Linked DNA regions of Cricetulus griseus. The main gene of each other region encodes a partner of the protein of the gene in region 2 in a complex. Links are inferred from orthologs where the notes say so. Each region holds a gene or a part of one and is shown on either strand. Other genes may lie near its edges.

The links.
Region 1: Akap13 (region 2) and Mapk14 share a complex: the UniProt entries of both Homo sapiens proteins name them as parts of the signaling complex. The link is inferred for Cricetulus griseus from reciprocal best matches to the Homo sapiens genes AKAP13 and MAPK14.
Region 3: Akap13 (region 2) and Pkn1 share a complex: the UniProt entries of both Homo sapiens proteins name them as parts of the signaling complex. The link is inferred for Cricetulus griseus from reciprocal best matches to the Homo sapiens genes AKAP13 and PKN1.
Region 4: Akap13 (region 2) and Map3k20 share a complex: the UniProt entries of both Homo sapiens proteins name them as parts of the signaling complex. The link is inferred for Cricetulus griseus from reciprocal best matches to the Homo sapiens genes AKAP13 and MAP3K20.
Region 5: Akap13 (region 2) and Map2k3 share a complex: the UniProt entries of both Homo sapiens proteins name them as parts of the signaling complex. The link is inferred for Cricetulus griseus from reciprocal best matches to the Homo sapiens genes AKAP13 and MAP2K3.

Annotation. Positions count from the first base shown.
Region 1 is NW_023276806.1:233,854,977-233,858,198, forward strand, and holds part of Mapk14 (mitogen-activated protein kinase 14), read left to right. Parts: intron 1-2,271; coding exon 2,272-2,445; intron 2,446-3,222. UniProt on the Homo sapiens protein: Serine/threonine kinase which acts as an essential component of the MAP kinase signal transduction pathway.
Region 2 is NC_048596.1:121,808,158-121,812,374, forward strand, and holds the start of Akap13 (A-kinase anchor protein 13), read right to left. Parts: upstream 2,808-4,217; 5' UTR 2,723-2,807; coding exon 2,687-2,722; intron 1-2,686. UniProt on the Homo sapiens protein: Scaffold protein that plays an important role in assembling signaling complexes downstream of several types of G protein-coupled receptors.
Region 3 is NC_048596.1:160,724,487-160,728,002, forward strand, and holds part of Pkn1 (serine/threonine-protein kinase N1), read left to right. Parts: intron 1-2,497; coding exon 2,498-2,649; intron 2,650-3,150; coding exon 3,151-3,286; intron 3,287-3,516. UniProt on the Homo sapiens protein: PKC-related serine/threonine-protein kinase involved in various processes such as regulation of the intermediate filaments of the actin cytoskeleton, cell migration, tumor cell invasion and transcription regulation.
Region 4 is NC_048599.1:102,878,387-102,882,425, reverse strand, and holds the start of Map3k20 (mitogen-activated protein kinase kinase kinase 20), read left to right. Parts: upstream 1-1,225; 5' UTR 1,226-1,371; intron 1,372-4,039. UniProt on the Homo sapiens protein: Stress-activated component of a protein kinase signal transduction cascade that promotes programmed cell death in response to various stress, such as ribosomal stress, osmotic shock and ionizing radiation.
Region 5 is NC_048600.1:74,934,547-74,938,062, reverse strand, and holds part of Map2k3 (dual specificity mitogen-activated protein kinase kinase 3), read right to left. Parts: intron 3,090-3,516; coding exon 3,038-3,089; intron 1,984-3,037; coding exon 1,856-1,983; intron 1,503-1,855; coding exon 1,425-1,502; intron 1-1,424. UniProt on the Homo sapiens protein: Dual specificity kinase. Is activated by cytokines and environmental stress in vivo. Catalyzes the concomitant phosphorylation of a threonine and a tyrosine residue in the MAP kinase p38.

The DNA.
Region 1 (3,222 bases), on a different chromosome or scaffold from region 2:
TCAAAAGGATTTCTTCTGCCTTTGATGGAAGTCACACACATCCTGATATGTGTCCCTATTTAAGCACAGACGAGAACCAGCTCCCATGAGTCAGTCCAGACTGCTGGGGAGTAAAATCTGGTGCCCAGTACAGCCTGCTCAATCCAAACACGCAGCGCATTGCCAAGTGCTGGTGGCAGAGGGAACATGCTGTGACCCATAGCTAGTCGTCCCCAACTTGCTAGCTGAACCACACAGCAGTGATATAAATATTAACAGCCCTGTTTTCAGTCACTGGCTTCGAATCACTGCTATTCTCAAAACACCTGAGAGCTCCACCGCCCTTTGATCTTAGTGTTGGCGTCTATGGAGATCCTTGAGATGTCTTTTCCTTGCTTCTGACCTGTTCTCATCTAAGTGCATTGGTCCTAAGATAGTGTAACTTTTTAAGGTAGGGTGGCAGGCACCCACCCATTTGTGTTCAGTATGAAATCAACAGATTTGTAGATGAACATGAAAAGAATATCTGTCTATTCAGGCAGTTCAGCCAGTGCCTCCCAGAATGCTGGGATTACAGGTGTGCACCACCATGCCCAGTGTGTACACTGCTGGGTGTGGAATCAAAAGCCTTGTGCACACTTGGCAAGCACTCTACAAGTTACATCCCAGCCCCTCTTTAAAGCGTGAGGTGACTCATGAATCTGAGCCCACATATGCTTATTTGCTGTTTCCTCTGTACCCTCAAAGCTTGTGCTTCTGTGGGTGACTGTGGAGTTCAGGCTGCAAGATGCATGATCACTCTGATAAGCAGAGGGACATCACCTCTTCAGGAAGCTTTTCTCCTCTTTAGCACCCACAGCCTTCCACTGTGAAGAAATTATCTGGGGCTGGAGAGAGGACTCTTCCAGGGGACCCAGTGCCCTTTTCTGGCCTTCTCAGCCAGCAGGCATGCACTGCTGTGCTCATAGAACTAAAAAGAAAGAACCCTGGGGTCTGAGAGCCTTTCTGTCTCGTTGATAACTGCTTAGGATGGCTTTACCCAAGCAGAACATCCTCCTCCTCAGAATTAGACAGCTCTGTGCCTCCGTCTCTAATGAGGTCATCGCTCTGGGGAGGGAAAAATCAGTAATGCTGAAACCATTATTGAAAGTAACTGATACCAGGAACCAAAATATTCCCCCAGATTACTCACTTGGGGAGAGAGGGGAAAGATCTCAAGATGCCAGTCACCTTTAGCTCCACTGGCTATTGTGCCCACCAGTTCAGAACATCACCTGGGACGTGTTCTTGACCAGTGTGCCTGACATTGTTCCTACCGAAGACTTAGGTCTAATTCTGGCTTTTGATAAATGTAAAGAATATAGGAAGCGGGGTGGGGAGGGGTCCATCCATCAGAGCACAGAGAAGCAGTGGCAGCCTGTGATAGACGATGGCTGCCCGCCTGCAACACATCTGCAGTGTCTGTCGTCAGAGGAGAGCCAGTAAGAAGCAAGGCTGGTGATACAGCCTGTCTGTATCCCAGTGTTGAGGAAGATGTGTTCAAGACCATCCTGGGCTACATAGCAAGGCTGAGGTCAGCTGGTTTCAGAAAGGCTAGAGAAAAGAGAGCCCCATAAGGAAGTCCCAGTTTGAACAAATGTAGGAGACAGCTGTGATGGAGATGTTTTACCACAGACAGGTTTGGGGTTAAAGACAATGTTCTGGTCACGCAGGATGATGTCTGTGTGCTGAAATATTTAGGGTATAAAGTGTCATCTCAATAACCTTAAAACAACTCAGGAGCGACACAGAAATAATGGGGGAAATATGTCAGATGTGGACTGACTGATGCCCCTGCATGGGTCATGGGTGCCCCTCCTGCTTCTGTATTCCAAATTTTCACAGTGAAAGTCTTAAGGATCAGATATCTTTATGTAGTACCTTTTCTTCTGCGACCCTCTGGGAAGCCTTCAATTTGCTATTGTTTGACATTCTGGGTGAATATTTATATTATGCTAGTATGTAATACTAATATGCTAATATAGACTACAATCAAGCTACCTGCCTTGTAGATGGTCTTAGCTGTCGACCTCCAGGCTTTGGCCATAGGGGGCCTCCATTCAGTACAGTTCATTCAGTTGTCACCGTGTGGCCCTGACACTGGAAAAAAAGTTTGTTCACAGCCTGGTTTGGGGGAGTAGATTTTGTTTTGTTTTTGTTCATTTGGAGTGTTTTGTTTCGTTTGAGTTTTTTGAGACTATGTAGCCCTGGCTGTCCAGGAACTCACTCTGTATTTTTCCTCTTGTGTGACAGCTGTGGACCTGCTGGAAAAGATGCTGGTTTTGGACTCAGATAAGAGGATCACAGCAGCCCAAGCCCTTGCACATGCCTACTTTGCTCAGTACCATGACCCTGATGATGAGCCTGTGGCTGACCCTTACGACCAGTCCTTTGAAAGCAGGGACCTCCTTATAGATGAGTGGAAAAGTAAGTTCAAAGGCAGGCTAGGGTGGGTCTCAAAGGGAGCTTGGTTTCAATCTATTCTTGTTTGGTTGCTTTGTTTGTTTTTTGAGCCAGGACTTTTCTCTGTGTTAACAGTCCTAGCTATCCTGGAACCAGCTCTGTAGACCAGGCTGGCCTTGAACTCACAGAGATCCGCCTGCCTCTGCCTCCCAAGTGCTGAAAGGTAGGTGCCACCAACGCAGCTCATTGGACCGAGGGCCTCACACGTGCAACACTCGTGTTCTACCACTGAGCCACATGCGCAGCCCAAGAACTTATTTTTAAAAATATTTTCTGGGCTGAGCAGTGGTGAGGCACACCTTTAATCCTAGCACTTGGGAGGCAGAGGCAGGTGGATCTCAGTGAGTTTGAGGCCAGCCTGGTCTAAAAAGCAAGGTCCAGGAGAGCCAGGCCTGTTATACAGAGAAACCCTGTCTCAAAAAACAAATAAGAAAAAATCTTTTCCGGGTGATTCTCACTTATCAAAAAAGGCTTGGGAAAATAGGGACTCATCAGTGGCAGCCTAGTGTTGTGTACACACCTGTGGGTCAGCACTCAGAAAGTGGGTTAAGAGTTTAGTGTTGCTGGGTGTTGGTGGCGCACGCCTTTAATCCCAGCACTTGGGAGGCAGAGGCAGGCGGATCTCTGGGTTGGAGGCCAGCCTGGTCTCCAGTGCGAGTGCCAGGATAGGCTCCAAAGCCACAGAGAAACCTGTCTCAAAAAAAAAAAAAAAAAAAAAAAAAAAAGAGTTTAATGTCATTC
Region 2 (4,217 bases):
TTGTTTTATTCAATGCTGTATCTGTGCCTATAAGTGTGTTGAGTTGTTGTAAGTGCTCAATAATGTATGCTGGATAAATGAATTCTTAACTCCATTCTGCAAACAATCTTCCTCCACAGTGCATCTTATGTGAGATAACTGTATGAGAAATCAAAAGATCTAAAATGTAATGCTCTGAGAATGAAAGACTTCAGCTCAAGTCCATAAAATGACAGTTAAAAAGAAGCAAGGCTCAAAAACACCCCTGATAAGAAACTACAACAGGATCACTCATCTATAGTACCCACTCTATTAAAAGAAAAATACTCAGACATAGTCCAAAAGCAAGCAAAGCCCTTAACTTTCCTTAACAACATAAACAGGAATCAACGGAGGAATTTGCTGATTTTCATACCAACTAGGGTTGATTTCACTGGTAGAAAATCATACAATTTTCTTTGACGTATCTCTTTTGACAGATAATGACAATGCCCAATTAAATCCACTCATCAATCTTCTTTTAACATGTTCATGAATATTTCAGTTAAAGGTATCCCACTCTTCAATGTTAACAGAAGTCAGTTTAAACAATACTACTGTCTTCCAAGACAGAAGCAAATGCATAGATTTGTAGGCTTCACATCTTTGTTCTACTGAGACAAAACCAGCAGATGGCGCCCAATAAATCTGTTTCTTTCTCTGTGAAAGAGCTATTTCTTCCCCCAAACATAAGAATTTTGAGATTTAAGATGAAATGGAAACAAAATACAAATGCTTGGAAAACATTTAATGTATGTAAGTCATATAGTAAGAGGTGTCTCTTAAGAGAATGGAATTCTTAAAGTTCTTCCAAGTTCTTTCTGTTGCTGTATGCGGCTCACTTCTCGGTCTGTTGCTGTTAAATGAGTACTGCTAAACTATTTGGAGGGTGCTGGACTCAGATTTTCTGGTGGGCTTTTTTTTTTTTTTTTTTTTTTTTTTTTTAAGCAACTTCTCCATCTCTCAGGACTTTTTCATAACCATATGGAACTGCTCAAATAATTAAGTCAACATTCAGACATTCTTCCTTCTGAAACAGGATCAGATATTTGCTTAAAATGCAGGAAACATCATTGGGTTGTTTGTTTTTTAAATTATTTTCATTTGGAATTTCAAGGAAAGAGCTGAAAGCTACCAGCCTTTCTTAACTCTTGACCCCTCTCTGTCTTCCCCGCCCTGGGACCAGGATACTTAAGCACTCTTGTCACTCACTCTGACGCTGACTGAAAAGAGTTGACTGGCTTGGCTGCTGTACTCACCCAGCTCTCAGCTACCTAATAGCATCCTAGGTTATTTATTGTCTTTGATTGTCTTGCTTCACCTCCAAAGTCATCAATGAAGCTAGTTCAGCAAGCTTCTAAGCTACCCCCTCCCACACACTAGAAAGCACAGAAGTTTCCAAAAATCTGGTCAGGTGGTTAACAATGTAAGAACAGCAATGAATTGCTAACTTCCTGGGGGTGATGGGAGACCAGATTTGAGTTCTAACTCTACTCCTTGCTAGCTTCACGGTCCACCAAGTGACACAGGTGTTCTGACACTGTCTCTTCTTTAAGGAGAGCAGTCATCTCATGAAGTTATTAGGATTACACAAAAAAATAAAGAAGCACAGCACACCATGTAAGTACTTGCAGATGCTAAATAATCAGAGGTGCATATGATTACTACTGCAATACAATATTCTTCTCGGCCACTCCCTCCTGCATGCTCACATGCAAATACACAAATACATTACAACTGGAAAAAAAAAATCAGCATTCCCAACTCTATACTAAGCAGAAAAACTATGGTGGAGCCTCAGTGTATCATGTCTTCAAACATCCTTTCTCTTCTAACCAAGAAGTAAAAACATTTTTAATTCTGAGTAATATGCAGACAATGTATAAATCATACCCTTACATGTGGGAAGAATAATAAATGTCACTGAGAACTGGAAAGCAGGCTTCATGCAGAAAAGATAAGTAACTGCAGAGCTAACGTCTTAGGATCTGCTGCCTGGATTCACTTCATACAACAAGAATGAACTAGACAATGTCAGCAAAACCTCAAAGTAGAATTTTGGAATGCCAGAGGTACCTCATAATTCTACCTTCATTAAGAGTAGGTTAAGTTCATTCCTGATCTCCAAACAAATGCAAGATAACAACAAAACAAAGGTAGGAAATGAGCCCACAACCAGATTGGAGGATCCCATGAACCAAAAAAGGAATGTACCGTAAGATAAAACTCACATTTCCTTCTGTGGACAAAACAAAAAGAGACAGCTGAGAATTCCACCCCAGCTGCCAGATGCTCTGTATATCACATGGGGTCAGCAGTTAATCCAAACAGAGTTTTGTGGAGGGCTCCAAGGATATACAAGAGCCAACAGCTTTTTCTTGGTTTAAAAAGGAGAAACAGAGCCAGGGAGATGGGTCAGCAAGTAAGGGTGTTTTCTCCCAAGCCTGCAGACCTGAGCTGGATCCCACCAGCCCACATATTAAGGGAGAGAACTGACCCTACAAGTTGCCTCTGACCTCCATGGACATGCTGTGGCACTTACGTCCCTATATACACAAATTAAACAGATGAATGAATGAATGAATGAATGAATACATAAATAAATAATTTTTAAGAGCAAGGACAAGGAAACTAAAGAGCTGGCTTAACAGAGGTTAAGACCACTCACTGTTCTTACAGAGGACTTGAGTGTAGCTCCTAGCATCCATGCTGGACACTTGGGTGGCTCACATCTGCCTGTAACTCAAGGTCTAAGGAAGCTGATGCCCTCTTCTGGCTTTTTCAGATACCTGTATTCAATTGACATATAGTCAAACAAACACATTGATAAAAACTTTAATTAAAAAACAGAATATTAATAGTCTCATCTCAAGTGACAAAGCAAGTCTCAAAGAAGCAATGAAAAACTTGAATCTTCAATCAAAGACTGGTAACTTTAAAATATAAATCTTAGCCCAATTTCTCCTTCCATAAAATAAGAAAACTCCTAATTCATTGCTTTGTCAGAGAAGTAGAACAAGATTACTAAGAAAGCACACACAGAAAGTTCCAAGTAAATAACAGAGATACAGGACAGAAGTTTAGCTAAAGCGCCAGTTAAGCACTGTCAGTCCCGAGTTCTCACTAAGGACCCCACCAAAGAGATCAAAACAAAATAACACTCTGTCACTTGCTCCAGATCACAAAGTTCTCCTGTGCAGTTTCATATCTTAACTGATCTTCCTTTTGAGGACATAAATCCTAACCTTTTCTTCAGATGATCAATTATTTATTCACACATGGGGCAAAGCTCTTTCCTGAGGATGACTTGGAATTCTACTTGAGAACATTTAACCAAAACTACCATGCCTATTCGAAAGGCACTGAGATATAGAAGCACAAGTAAAACTGAAGAAGGCAATAGAAACAAATTTCAAGTGCTGCCCTCAACTCTTAAGGAATGTGCAACCGAGTAAATGGGGAAAACACATCCACAAAAATGCATCTAAAGTGTTAGAAGTGTTAAGTGGTCTGTGAAGCACAGTGGAGACACAAGAGAGGCATGATGGGTTCCACAGCAGGGCAAAGGGTAAGGCAGGGTACCATACAAACAAATGCCAGAAACAAATCCTGAAAGCTAAACGGTTCAGTGGTGGTGGTTGTGTGTTGTGGGGGGGGGGGTGGTATTTCAAAGCAAGTAACAATATATTTGGAACTCATTTATTACGGAGCATTCCACCAACCCAGCATAGCACCACCCATAGCTAGGGATCTTTAAACTGCCAATTGTTGAAGTCAAAAGACTGCTGTAGTTTCGATAGGCAGTCCTCGGGCAAATTCAAAAAACCTGTGGGATCTTATCAGTTCTATTTGCATCATGACCTATACTGCTTCCACTACAAAGCAGATGTGGCCTTAATTATCCATGTCCACACAAAGAACCTGTGAAAATTCAAAATGACATAGAAAGTACTGTGAAACATAGTATGAAGTATTACTAGCTCTAGTAACAGAGTGATCCTCTGAAAATCACCATTTACTGGTAACATAACTGCTGCTACATTCAATAATACAAATCTTAACAGGGGCTTCAAAATTTATTAACAATGTACCCAGAAAGCTGGGCTTACAGAGAAGCTAAGTACTTGTCCTTTTGAAATAGCAACCTACATGACAATTTCCTGTTTCTCTTTGATGAGTTGCTATATCATCAATGTTGG
Region 3 (3,516 bases), about 39 Mb from region 2:
GAACACTAAAGACCCACACACTGTCACCAGTTACTTAAGGACACAGCTATAGTTATTTCTAGACAATAGCTGGGTAACATGCTGTCACATGAAAACCCAGAAACTCATAGTCATATCAATGCCCAATATGGCACACTTGTCACTCTCTTAGCTCTCCACATCATACCAATACAATAGCAGTTATAGACTATTTTTCAGTTGTTCTTTGCTTTATGTATATATACAAAAATATATGTATATATGACAGAGGCAGGTGGATCTCTGTGAGTCAAGGCCAGTCAGAGCTACCTAGTAAAACTTTGCCTCAAAAACAAAAACAAAGCACTTACAACCCAGGTGAGAAAAAGAAAAAAGAGAAACTACTCTAGATAAAAATACTCATATATGAATAAATAAAAATAGCCAGGCAGTGGTGGTGCACACATTTAATCCCAGCATTTGGGAGACAGAGGTAGGTAGGTAGATCTCTGAGTTAGAGGCCAGCCTGATCTACAGAGTGAGTTCCAAGACAGCCAGGGCTACACAGAGAAACTGTGTCTCTAAAAGATAAAATCAAAACAAAACATTTTTATGTTTATTTATGTGTATTGTGTATGCCTGGATGTCTTTATGTATGTCACGCCAGGTGCCTGAGAAGAGGATGGCCCTAGAGCCCCTGAAACTGGAGTTATAGGTTATTGGTTATTATGAGTCACCTGATATAGCCTGTACCACTAAACCCAGTAAAGATTTTTTTTTTTTTTCTCAAGACGGGGTTTCTCTGTATATCCCTAGTTGTCCTGGAACTCGCTCTGTAGACCAGGCTGGCCTTGAGCTCACAGAGAACTGCCTGCCTCTGCCTCTCAAGTATTGGGATTAAAGGTGTGTGCCATCACCTAGCTGTGAGGCGATGTGTGTGTGTGTGTGTGTGTGTGTGTGTGTCGAGACAGGGTTTCTCTGTATTGCTTTGGAGGTTGTCCTGGAACTTGCTCTGTAGACCAGGCTGGCCTCAAACTCAGAGATCCGCCTGCCTCTGCTTCCTGATTGCTGGGATTAAAGGCATGTACCACCAACACCCCGCTAAAAGTTTTATATTTTTTTTAAAAAAATTAATTTTTGGCTTGGCAGCAGTGATGCATGCTTTTGATTCCAGCGCTTGTGAGGCAGAGACCGGCAGATCCTGTGAGTTTGAACTCACTTACAGAGTGAGTTCTAGGACAGCCAGGGCTATACAGAGAAACCCTGTCTTGAAAAAACCATAGTAAATACTAATTTTTTTTTTATTGTGGATAAAGTAAAGTCCTACATGCTGAGGAGCTGACTTAGGCAATAAAATATTTACTGTGTAAACATAAAGACTTGCGTTTGAAGTCAAGGACTCGAGTAGAAGCCAGGTGTGGTGGTATTCCACACCTGGGGGAGGTAGAGACGGGAGGATCTCTGGCTGCACTGCTCAGCCGTACCAGTCAAATCAGAGAGCTCCAGGCTCAGTGAGGGACCATATCTCAAAAAAGGGAGGGAGGAAGAAAGGTGGAGAAAAATTGAGGAACTTACCTGCTGTCTCTCTGGCTTCCATGTATTTACATATGTAAATACACAAAAGGAAACCCACATCATAATTTATCATTGCCAGAGTTCAGTAGTGTTATGTGTGTTCATGCAGCGACAAAACAAGGCCACAGTTCCCTCATCTTGTAGTCAAGATGTTTATGGTCACAGGAACACTAGAGGATACCGAGAGAATTCAGAAGTGCACAGCCAGTGATGCCACCCAGGCAACACAGCAAACATGACTCTAATTTCAGAGTCTGTAGCATAGTCATGACAGCATCCAAGGTTTGCAACCTGTCACCTACACCTAGAGAGACACACTAACCCACAATGACCCCAGAGCTCTTCCACCTGGTTATCATGCCATCTCCAGAGGTGCCCCACCATTGTCCCATCCACAGCAGACTTCCCATATAGCCAACAGGCTCAGCTCCAGCCCCTCTACATATGGCTGTGTCCACTGTTGAGGTCCAATACTATCCCATCAACACTTGGTGGAGTTCAGCCAAGAGTCTTATAAGCCTCTTCTGTAGTGAGTTCTCCCAACCCCACTGTATCACTCTTGAGGTGCAGACAACAGCTGAGCCTTGAAACAGAATCCCAGAAGCCTCTAGAGATCATAACTATGACTGTAAGCTCACACAGACCTCCTAACTACTTTTACATCCACATCTAGGGCACTACACTCCTGCCACCCCCAGGGGGCTTACACACCTTAGGTAGATGGGGGCATTTATTCCAGCTAGCCCTGAAGACCTGCATACCTGGTCACTAACCCACCTTCCTTCAAGCTGGGGGCCCACTCTAGCTTTGAGGGCCATGTGTTTCCTGCCTGTGTACTGACCCCCAGGCTCCTTTTCTGGGATGTACCAAGGCTGGGCTGAGAGCTTCCTATCAGCTGGGGGAAAGTCTCCTGGGTATACTGAAGTGACAACTGTGTGCTTTTCTTCACTCTGTGTTTCTTCAGATGCTTCCCAATCCCTTGGAGAGGGCAGCACTGTCTGCTCATCCACCAACTTGAGTCGGGTGGCTGGCCTGGAGAAACAGCTGGCCATTGAGCTGAAGGTCAAACAGGGGGCAGAAAACATGATCCAGACCTACAGTAATGGCAGCACCAAGGTGGGACCGTGTTCTGAAACATTCCATCCCTGTGACAGGAGGCTGTGTCCCAATTAGTAGCTACTAGTCTGCTTCCTGTCCCTGGACTGGCCTGCTCTAGGCAACTTCTATTACTCCAGTATACCACCATTTGTCTGTGGCCCTGCAGACACCTGCACACAGATGATCTGAGAGCTGAGGAAGATGTAGCTCCAGCTGGTCCAAACTGGGCTGTGGTGTCCTCAGTCCAGTGGAGGTCCAGGCTTTGCAGATGGGGGAGGTGAGGTCCAGAGGACTGGGAGAACATGGTTGGGATTGCAAAGCTCAGCTGTTGGTGGCAGAGCTAGAATTGAAGCCTATGGACTTGTCTTACTGCACTTGTGCTAGAACACTGGGCACAGGTGTTCTTGTTTGCACACATCAATGCTCTGTCTTACCCAAGGCCTTCATGGCATAGCAGCAGGGTTTGGGGGTCAGACTTGAGTTCCCAGTTTTCCTGTCACCTTGCACGTCTGGCTCCAGGACAGGAAGCTGCTGTTGACGGCCCAACAGATGCTGCAGGATAGCAAGACCAAGATTGACATCATCCGCATGCAGATTCGCCGTGCACTACAGGCTGGCCAGTTGGAGAGCCAGGCAGCTCTGGATGAGGCCCAAGGTGAGGCCTTCCCCTGGGCATTGCCTGCCCATCCTCAGTCTCCCAGGGTCGACCTTCACCCCTTAGTGCTCTGCTGTGGAAGGCAAGGAGGCAGGAATTAATCTCACTGTGAGTGGAGCCCATTCCTGCCCATCTCTGACTTTTTTTGTCCCATTCAAAGTTTGGGCTAGGATGGTTGTTGCCAAATGGTACCCTCAGGCCAAGTGCACCTGCTGGTTTGTTTGTTTCTT
Region 4 (4,039 bases), on a different chromosome or scaffold from region 2:
CAGGCAGCTTCTAAAATTGTTTGATCACCTACAACAGAATTTTTTTTTTTTTTTAGTGTGACAGTTTTCTTCAGTCTTCTCGGTTACCAAGATGTAATTTATTAATCTAAAACCCTCAGCCTTTGTAATAACAGACCAAGAGGGCTTTTAAAAATTATTAGTTTATATCTATCCACCCTTCCACATTCATGTGCTAAACATATATGAACAGTTTTCAAAATTTCTATTTCTCCTTTGGCCTCTCTTCTCATTTCCGTTTCTTGTTTCATCTCTACCTGTTTTTCCTCTCATGACTTCAAAACTCAGCAGGAAGCCAGTTTCCTCTCCCCAGATTGCTATTTCTGTCAATGACACACCATTCTTCCAGTCACCCAGGTCTCAAATCCTGGCATCATCTCTTTCTTCTTTCCCAATCGAATGGGTCACCAATTTCTGTGGCCTCTTTCTGAAACATGTTTCTCAATTCCAATTTCTTTTTTTTTTTTTAAAAAAAAAAAGATTCCATGTTGTACCCTCTCACTCAGGTCCTCGGGGTCCCATCTGTAAGCAGGAAGTGACAGTATCTACCATTTATCCTGTTTCCATCCCTAGGCAATTCTCCAAATCACCTCTAAGATGAATGGAGAGGAAAGAACGTGGCTTAAAATCTTAAGGCTTCTATGCCACGTGCTCCAATAGAAAGCAATGCACTAAAACACAAACACCCATTTTACTCCATTTCAACTTTCCACAATTCTCCAGGTGTGTGAGTGACTAGATTCTAATTCAGAAAATGTCTCCCCTACCTCTTCTCTCCTCCCCCCATCCCCGACCCAGTTCCATCTTCCCCAGTCCATATATATATATATATATATATATATATATATATATATATATATATATATTCCTAAAGCCCGGTGCCACTTTTTATTTTTTTTTTCCACACTTTCAATGGACTCTGTCACCTCAATGTGAAATCGCAGGCACTTTATCTTAAAGTCACCAACCAGAGCAGCAGGTCGTGACTCCTCCTCAAAATTTCCAAAGTACCTGTTTCAACAGATGGTCCCAACTGAGGCACCCGCAACCCTGACTCCATAGAAATCGACTTCCCTTCCGTCCCCTTCCCAGCCAGAGCATCATGCAGCGCCTGGGGTCTGTGTGACCCCGAGCCCGGGCCTTCCCGCTGGGTGTCTGGCCGGGCGTGCCGGGAGGCAGGGCGGCCGGCGGTTCCGCGCCCGGAGGTAGGTGGTGCTGTTGCCGCGACGTCTTCCTCATTGGCGCCGCGCGGAGAGGCGGAATGTTCAACTCCTGACTCCGGCGGAAGCGTGGGAGCAGCGCGGGCCGCCGTCCCCGACCCCCGCCGCCGCTCGCACCCGGCCCGGGAGCCAGGTAGGGGGCTGCGGGGGACTGGAAGGAGGGAGGGAGCACCATCCTGGAGGATCGGCGGGGCCCGGGCCTGCGGGGATCGGGGCAGCGCGGGTGCGGGAGGCCGGGGCTCGGCGGGCGGCTGTCCTCGGCCCGCGCCCGGTGCCCTGGAGCCCCGCGGTCCTCTGCCGCTGGGCCGAGTACGGCTTGGGGCAAGTCCGGGACAGTCCCGTGGGACATTCAGTGCCCGGAAGAGCCCGGCCTGGCACAGCCCGCGGCGATCTCGGGGAGCCCGCGGCGGCTGCCCTTCCCGAGCACCTTTGCCTTCGGTGGGAGCACACGCGGGTGTCGTGGGCGCGGGGACCCTCACCCGGCTCCGCGGTGAGTTCGCCCCCGGCCTCAGGCACGCCTCGCCCCGTGCGTGACAGCTTTCAGAAAAACTTTGATTCTGAACTGCCCAGATGACATGGAACTGTCTGAAAAACAATGGCACGTCATTGTTGGGTTGCTCAAAATGTATGTTTCTCATGCGCCTGGAGATCCTGCATAAGCACTGTTTATGGAGAGTATAATTACTATTTTTGTTAGTTTCGTTAATAATGAAAGCACACCATTTGGTGGCCCGTTCCAGCGATTTCACAATAAGCAGCCTTCATTAATAATGCGTATGAGAACCGTCTTCCAGAATGGATTGAGGCTATCTGAGTTCACACTGTTGTTGAAAGTGTCTTCCTGTTTTACCCCTGAAGTGCTTGTAGCAAATCTTCTGGCTTTCTTGACGGTAGATGAAACCAACTGCCAGGATTTAGTGGATCCAAACCTACCAAAATGTTTAACGATAAAAATAAACAAATGATTCAAGAGCAGACTTCTTTGTTGTAGGCCTGTCTCTACAGTAAAATTTCATTCCTTTCTTGATTTAAAAAAAAAAAAAGTGACTGCTGCATTTTAATTATGGTTTTGGTCGTTTGTAGAGTCTTTGTTTTAGATTCCTGTTACAATTGTGAGAGATTTGGGAGACTGTAAATGAACATGAATTTAGCTTGTTTGGAAAGAGAATTAGATAGAGGAAAAATAGCCCTTTGGAGTACTATGTACTGTTTATTTTAATCTTTTACAATGTAATTTCTACAAGTACTTTTGGGGATTATTTTGGAGGTTTTTTTTTTTAACTGAAGAATGTGCAAGTCAAAGTTTAAGTGGGAAACATTTTGTTGTCTAGGAAAGCAAGTAGATGATTGATCCTTTAGAAGGATTTTTTTTATTTTTGGTTGAGGGGGGTACATAAGAACACATTAAGGGAAGTAATAACCAAATATTAAGCACACAGATTGAGATCTAAAAATGGATGGTCAAAGATCTTGGGAACTGAGGGACCTTCTTGCCAAATAAGGAAACTTGGCAAGCTGCACTGTGTATTTTAAGTTAGTGCAGAGTGAGTGCTATTGGCAATACATTGGCTTGGTGCCTATCTGGGCTAAGCGGTGAAACTGAGTCTGATAGGACCGAAGAATTACAAACAGGACTTACAAAGGGTGTTGAGTGAGGAAGTGAATCATCAGGGGAGACACTGGAGAAATTACAGGGACGTTTTGTGAAAGAGGTCAGATGAAGCTCCCAGAGTGCCCAGCAAAATGGACAGTGGAGTTTAGAACTTGACACAATCAGAGAAAAGTCAGTGAGCTCTTCTGCTGAGCTGGGAAAGGTGTTTGTGGTGATGTACTTTGTTGGAATAAGATAGCCTCTGTGCCCTCAGATGTTGGAAATAAAAGTTGGGATCATTTGTTTTCCATGTTATTATGCACGGGACAGACTGACAAGGGGCGGGGACCGGTCTATCTAAATATAATAGCAGCAGCTGAGACACTTACTGTGGGGAAGATTTAGGCTACTTCCTTTGTGGCTATTAACTTTGGCCCACTACACATAAATAAGCATAGTTCCAGCTGTATCCAAAGAGAGCCATCCGAGCCAGAGCCTGATGGTTTGATTGATCTACTTTTGTGTCCAATCCTCCTAGAGACAGCTGAAGCATTGAGTATAAGAGGAGTTAAGTAATCCCAATGCACTAAAACACCGTGAGAACCAGGAGTCATACATGTAATACTTAACCCATTGACACCATTGCTAATAGAAAACTTAAGCCTCAAAAAAAAAAGAAAGAAAGAAAAGAAAAGAAAATTTAAGCCTCAAATACGAGGATAGTAAGCAATCCAGTCATTACAGTAACAAGAAATGGGTCTGTTTAAAGAGAAAAAGGAAAATTAGGAGGCAGTAAACGATGGAGTAGAAAAAGGGCACACGGTGGAAGAAAAGGAGGTGACCCAAGTTGAATCCCAGTTGTGTCATTTGTAGATCAGGCTTGGCCAATGTTTACACCCTTGGGAGATGGAGATACCTGCATCCTGGGGAGAGGTCTATGAGACAGCATTTGGAAATGCTTGGGCTCGTCCCGGAAGCTCCAGCTACCGTGACTGGGTGCAGAGAGGGCTTTCCCACATTTCTCAAGCCATGTGCTTGCCTCAGCTTTCCCAGGCAAGGCTTGCCTACAGTATTTTGCCCTGTCCTTGTCATACTTAAATGCCTATGCTGAGAGTAGATGGAGTTTACCTAGCCACTCCTTCTTGTGTACAAGGGTTTCCAAAGCAATGCTGTAATACTGTGTTTTGGGGAAGAAACTGAAGATTAATAT
Region 5 (3,516 bases), on a different chromosome or scaffold from region 2:
CCTGTCTCAAAAACAAACAAACAACAACAACAAAAATGTCCTACCTGAAAGTCCTGCAATCAACCATGGGAAGAGTCTCAAAACAACTAGACATGCGGTAACCAAGAAAATGGGCAGCATGTTTTGGTAACTGACCCCTGGTGGTCAGAATGTCTCTTTTTGTTAAAGGTCATTGCAACTAAAGATACATTGTTCTTGCTATATCAAGAATTAAGGTACCAGGGCACTTTCATACACAGGTGCAGTAGAAAAGTGCCCATCTTCAAAGAATTCAACTTCATTGTAACATTGTGCTGGCTAGTTTTATGTCAACTCCACACAAGCTAGAATCATTTGGGAAGAGGGAACCTCAATTAAGAAAAGCCTGTAAGCAAGCTTGAGCATTTTCTTGATTGATGATTGATATGGGAGGCCCCAGCTCACTGCAGGTATTCAGCTCAGCCTCTGGGCTGGTGGTCCTAGGTGATGTAACAAAACAGAGCCAGCAAGCCAGGAGTAGCAAGCCGATAAGCATCCTCCATGGCTTCTACTGTGCTATGCTCCTGACTTCCCTCAGTGAAGGGGTGTGATCTGAGAGGGGTAAGTCAAAATAAACCCTTTCCTCCCCAGGGTGCTTTTGGTTATTGTGTTTTATCACATCAATAGGTGAATTAAAACTTTCTGTGAGGCAGTTCAAGAAGGCAGAGGTCCGTCCCTACACCCTGGACTTAGATTTATCTGTACAACTCAATCCTCATAGCCTGGCCCCTGGCCCTCCCTCCAAGCCAAGGATCCTTTCAGCCTTCACAGGGCCAGGATCCAGAGCCTCACCCTACAGAGCCTAAGCATAGACAAATACAACAGGAGCCTACAGCAACAGGTTCCTGGTGTGGAAGAAAAAAAAAAAAAAACCCTCAATCTTTTTTTTTTTTTTTTTTTTTTGAGTGTTGGGAAGGGTATTGAGACAGTGTCCCTCAAATTCACTATGAAGTTGAGGATAACCTTGAACTCCCTGATCCTTTTGCCTCTGCCTTCCAAAGTATCACATTACAAAAGGGTGCTACCATAGCACAGGAGGGTGCCATTGTGCCCAGCTAACAGTTTAACTTCTTGATTTGGAAATCACTTGCATGGCAAGAACTATACTTAGCATCAGCTGGGATTTCTTGCTCTACACCAATGGCTATAGGGGAAAGGCTGACATCACAGAATACAGAGAACATTCATGATGGTTAAATGGAACCATCAGGAAAGAGGTCTTGTAACTCCCAAATGTCCTCTCACCCAAAAAGGAATGTTTGACGATGCTTTTTTTTTTTTTTTTCTTGAACACTGAAACCAACTCTTTTTCTTGGATTTAAACTACTTGGCGCCCATAGACCCCAACACAGACACACTCCACCCCACTGGACCAGCAAGTGCTGCACTTCCAACCCAGACAGTACCATGGTGATGCCGAGGCTCCAGACGTCAGACTTGACATTGTAGCCCTTCTGATTCAGCTCAGGGTTGATCCTCTCAGGCTGCAAGAGAGACTAGAGGGCTTGAAGACCCAACCAGCCAAGGCTCCTTCCATTAGACCTTTTCTTGTCTATTCCAAAACGGAGTGCCATTAGGTTCCCCTGCCTGTAAGCTATAAGCCAACAAGAGCCAGAGCCAATCCCTGCCTTCCCACCAGGCCCCCCAGTCCTAAGGAAAACAGGGTTCACAGGTTCTACAGACTACAAGTTCATCCAAACAGGTATCATGGAGTGCAGGTAAATGGTGGCAAGGTCCCTATGGAGGAGGGTACAACTGAAGAAAAAAAAAACACAGCCCACTACATAGATTCAGAATCTTGTCTTGTCCTCCACCTAGCCAGGATGCCCCCACTTACAGCCATGTAAGGCTTGCAACCAGCATCCATTGTCTTTGCCACAGAGTCCACCAGGTAGCCACTGATGCCAAAGTCGCACATCTTCACATGCCCCTCCTTGTTGATGAGGACATTGGACGGCTTCACATCTACAAGTAGAGCATACCCTTCTCAGCCTATACCAAGTGAGATGCTGCCCCTCCAGTGGCCTGTGGTCCAGCAGCAGGCTACCCAATGCCCCAAGGATAGGGCAAGGAAGCAGAGGCAATGAGATGTGCAGTACCAGGCCCCATCACATAGCCAGACAATGAGTCAGAATGCACCTCAGCTTATCCCTACCAAAGAGAAACATCAGAGCCCTGTAGACACTACCTAGAGACTATTCATGCATACTACCTGCTACAGACACAAAGCTGGCAAGCAGAAGGTAGTGAGTGGGTGAACAACAGTGCAGGTGAAGGTGTGAGGATGGGTCTGTGTGTGCAAATAAGGAGCCCCATCCCCTGCCTCACAGGACACAGGAAGCTCCAAGCAAAGATCCACGTGGATGTGTAAAGACAAAGGTGTACAGAAAAGGACAGGAAGGTTCCGTGCCAAAGGGCCAACAATGATGACTTGAGGACAGAACTGGGACGAGTAGTGACACTAAGTGCAGTGCAACCAAGTCAGTGGGAGGCTCATTTTTTTGTTTGTTTGGTTGGTTGGTTTTGGTTTTTGAGACAGGAGTTCTTTGTGGAACAGCCTTGGCTTTCCTGGAACTAGCTCTGTAGACCATGCTGGCCTCGAACTCACAGAGATCTGCCTGCCTCTGTCTCCCAAATGCTGGGAATAAAGGCTATGCCACCACTACCCGACAGGAGTCTGATTCTTAATAACTATAAACCTGGAGGGGAAAAATCAGACTAGTGGCCACAAGGGCAAAAGGAGGCCAGAAAAGCTCAGGATGGTTGCGTGGCGGGTAAGAGGGAGCTTGGATCAGATCCCCGGAGTGACATGCCACAACCTAGATATTTTACAGCACATGGACTGCACATAAGAATGAGAAAGTAGGCAGTGGAGCCCAGGAAAAGTGGGAATCCAGTTAATTCCTCCTGTTCTGAGCACTGCAGAGCCAAATGCAGAAAAAGTGAGTCAAGCCCCACAAGGTGTCCCATAGGCTGTCCCCCGCCCACCAGGCCTCAGGGGCTGGTGAAGGACACTGACCTCTATGGATCACAGACAGCTTGCTGTGCAGATGCTCCAGGGCCCGCACGATCTGAATGGGGTGGGAGAGGCAGAACTGCTGTTATTCCAGGTAACACCACTGAGAATAAGGTAGCAAACCCCATCTCCTCTAAACACGTCCCAGCCAGTCACCCAGCTCCTGCCCACACCCCAGATGTGCCCATTTGACTGTCCTAGGACAGACTTGATGGCTTCCTGCCCTTCTTCTCACTCCATAAATCCCAAACAGTGCTGCTGCCCAAGGGCCATCGCCAAGATCTACCTGGCCCCCAGGTTTCTCTCACTCCCTTAGTGGAGCTACCTCTGGGGACTAGGAACGAGAGGAGCTGGAGGCATGGGATGGTTTAAGCGCTTCCAGGTGCAAACAGGATTAAAGGGCATCCTTGATTCTACTGCCCCCACCCCTCCCCGCTGGAGCAACATTCAAATCAGAGTTGCTGCACTCCTCTAGAAACAGT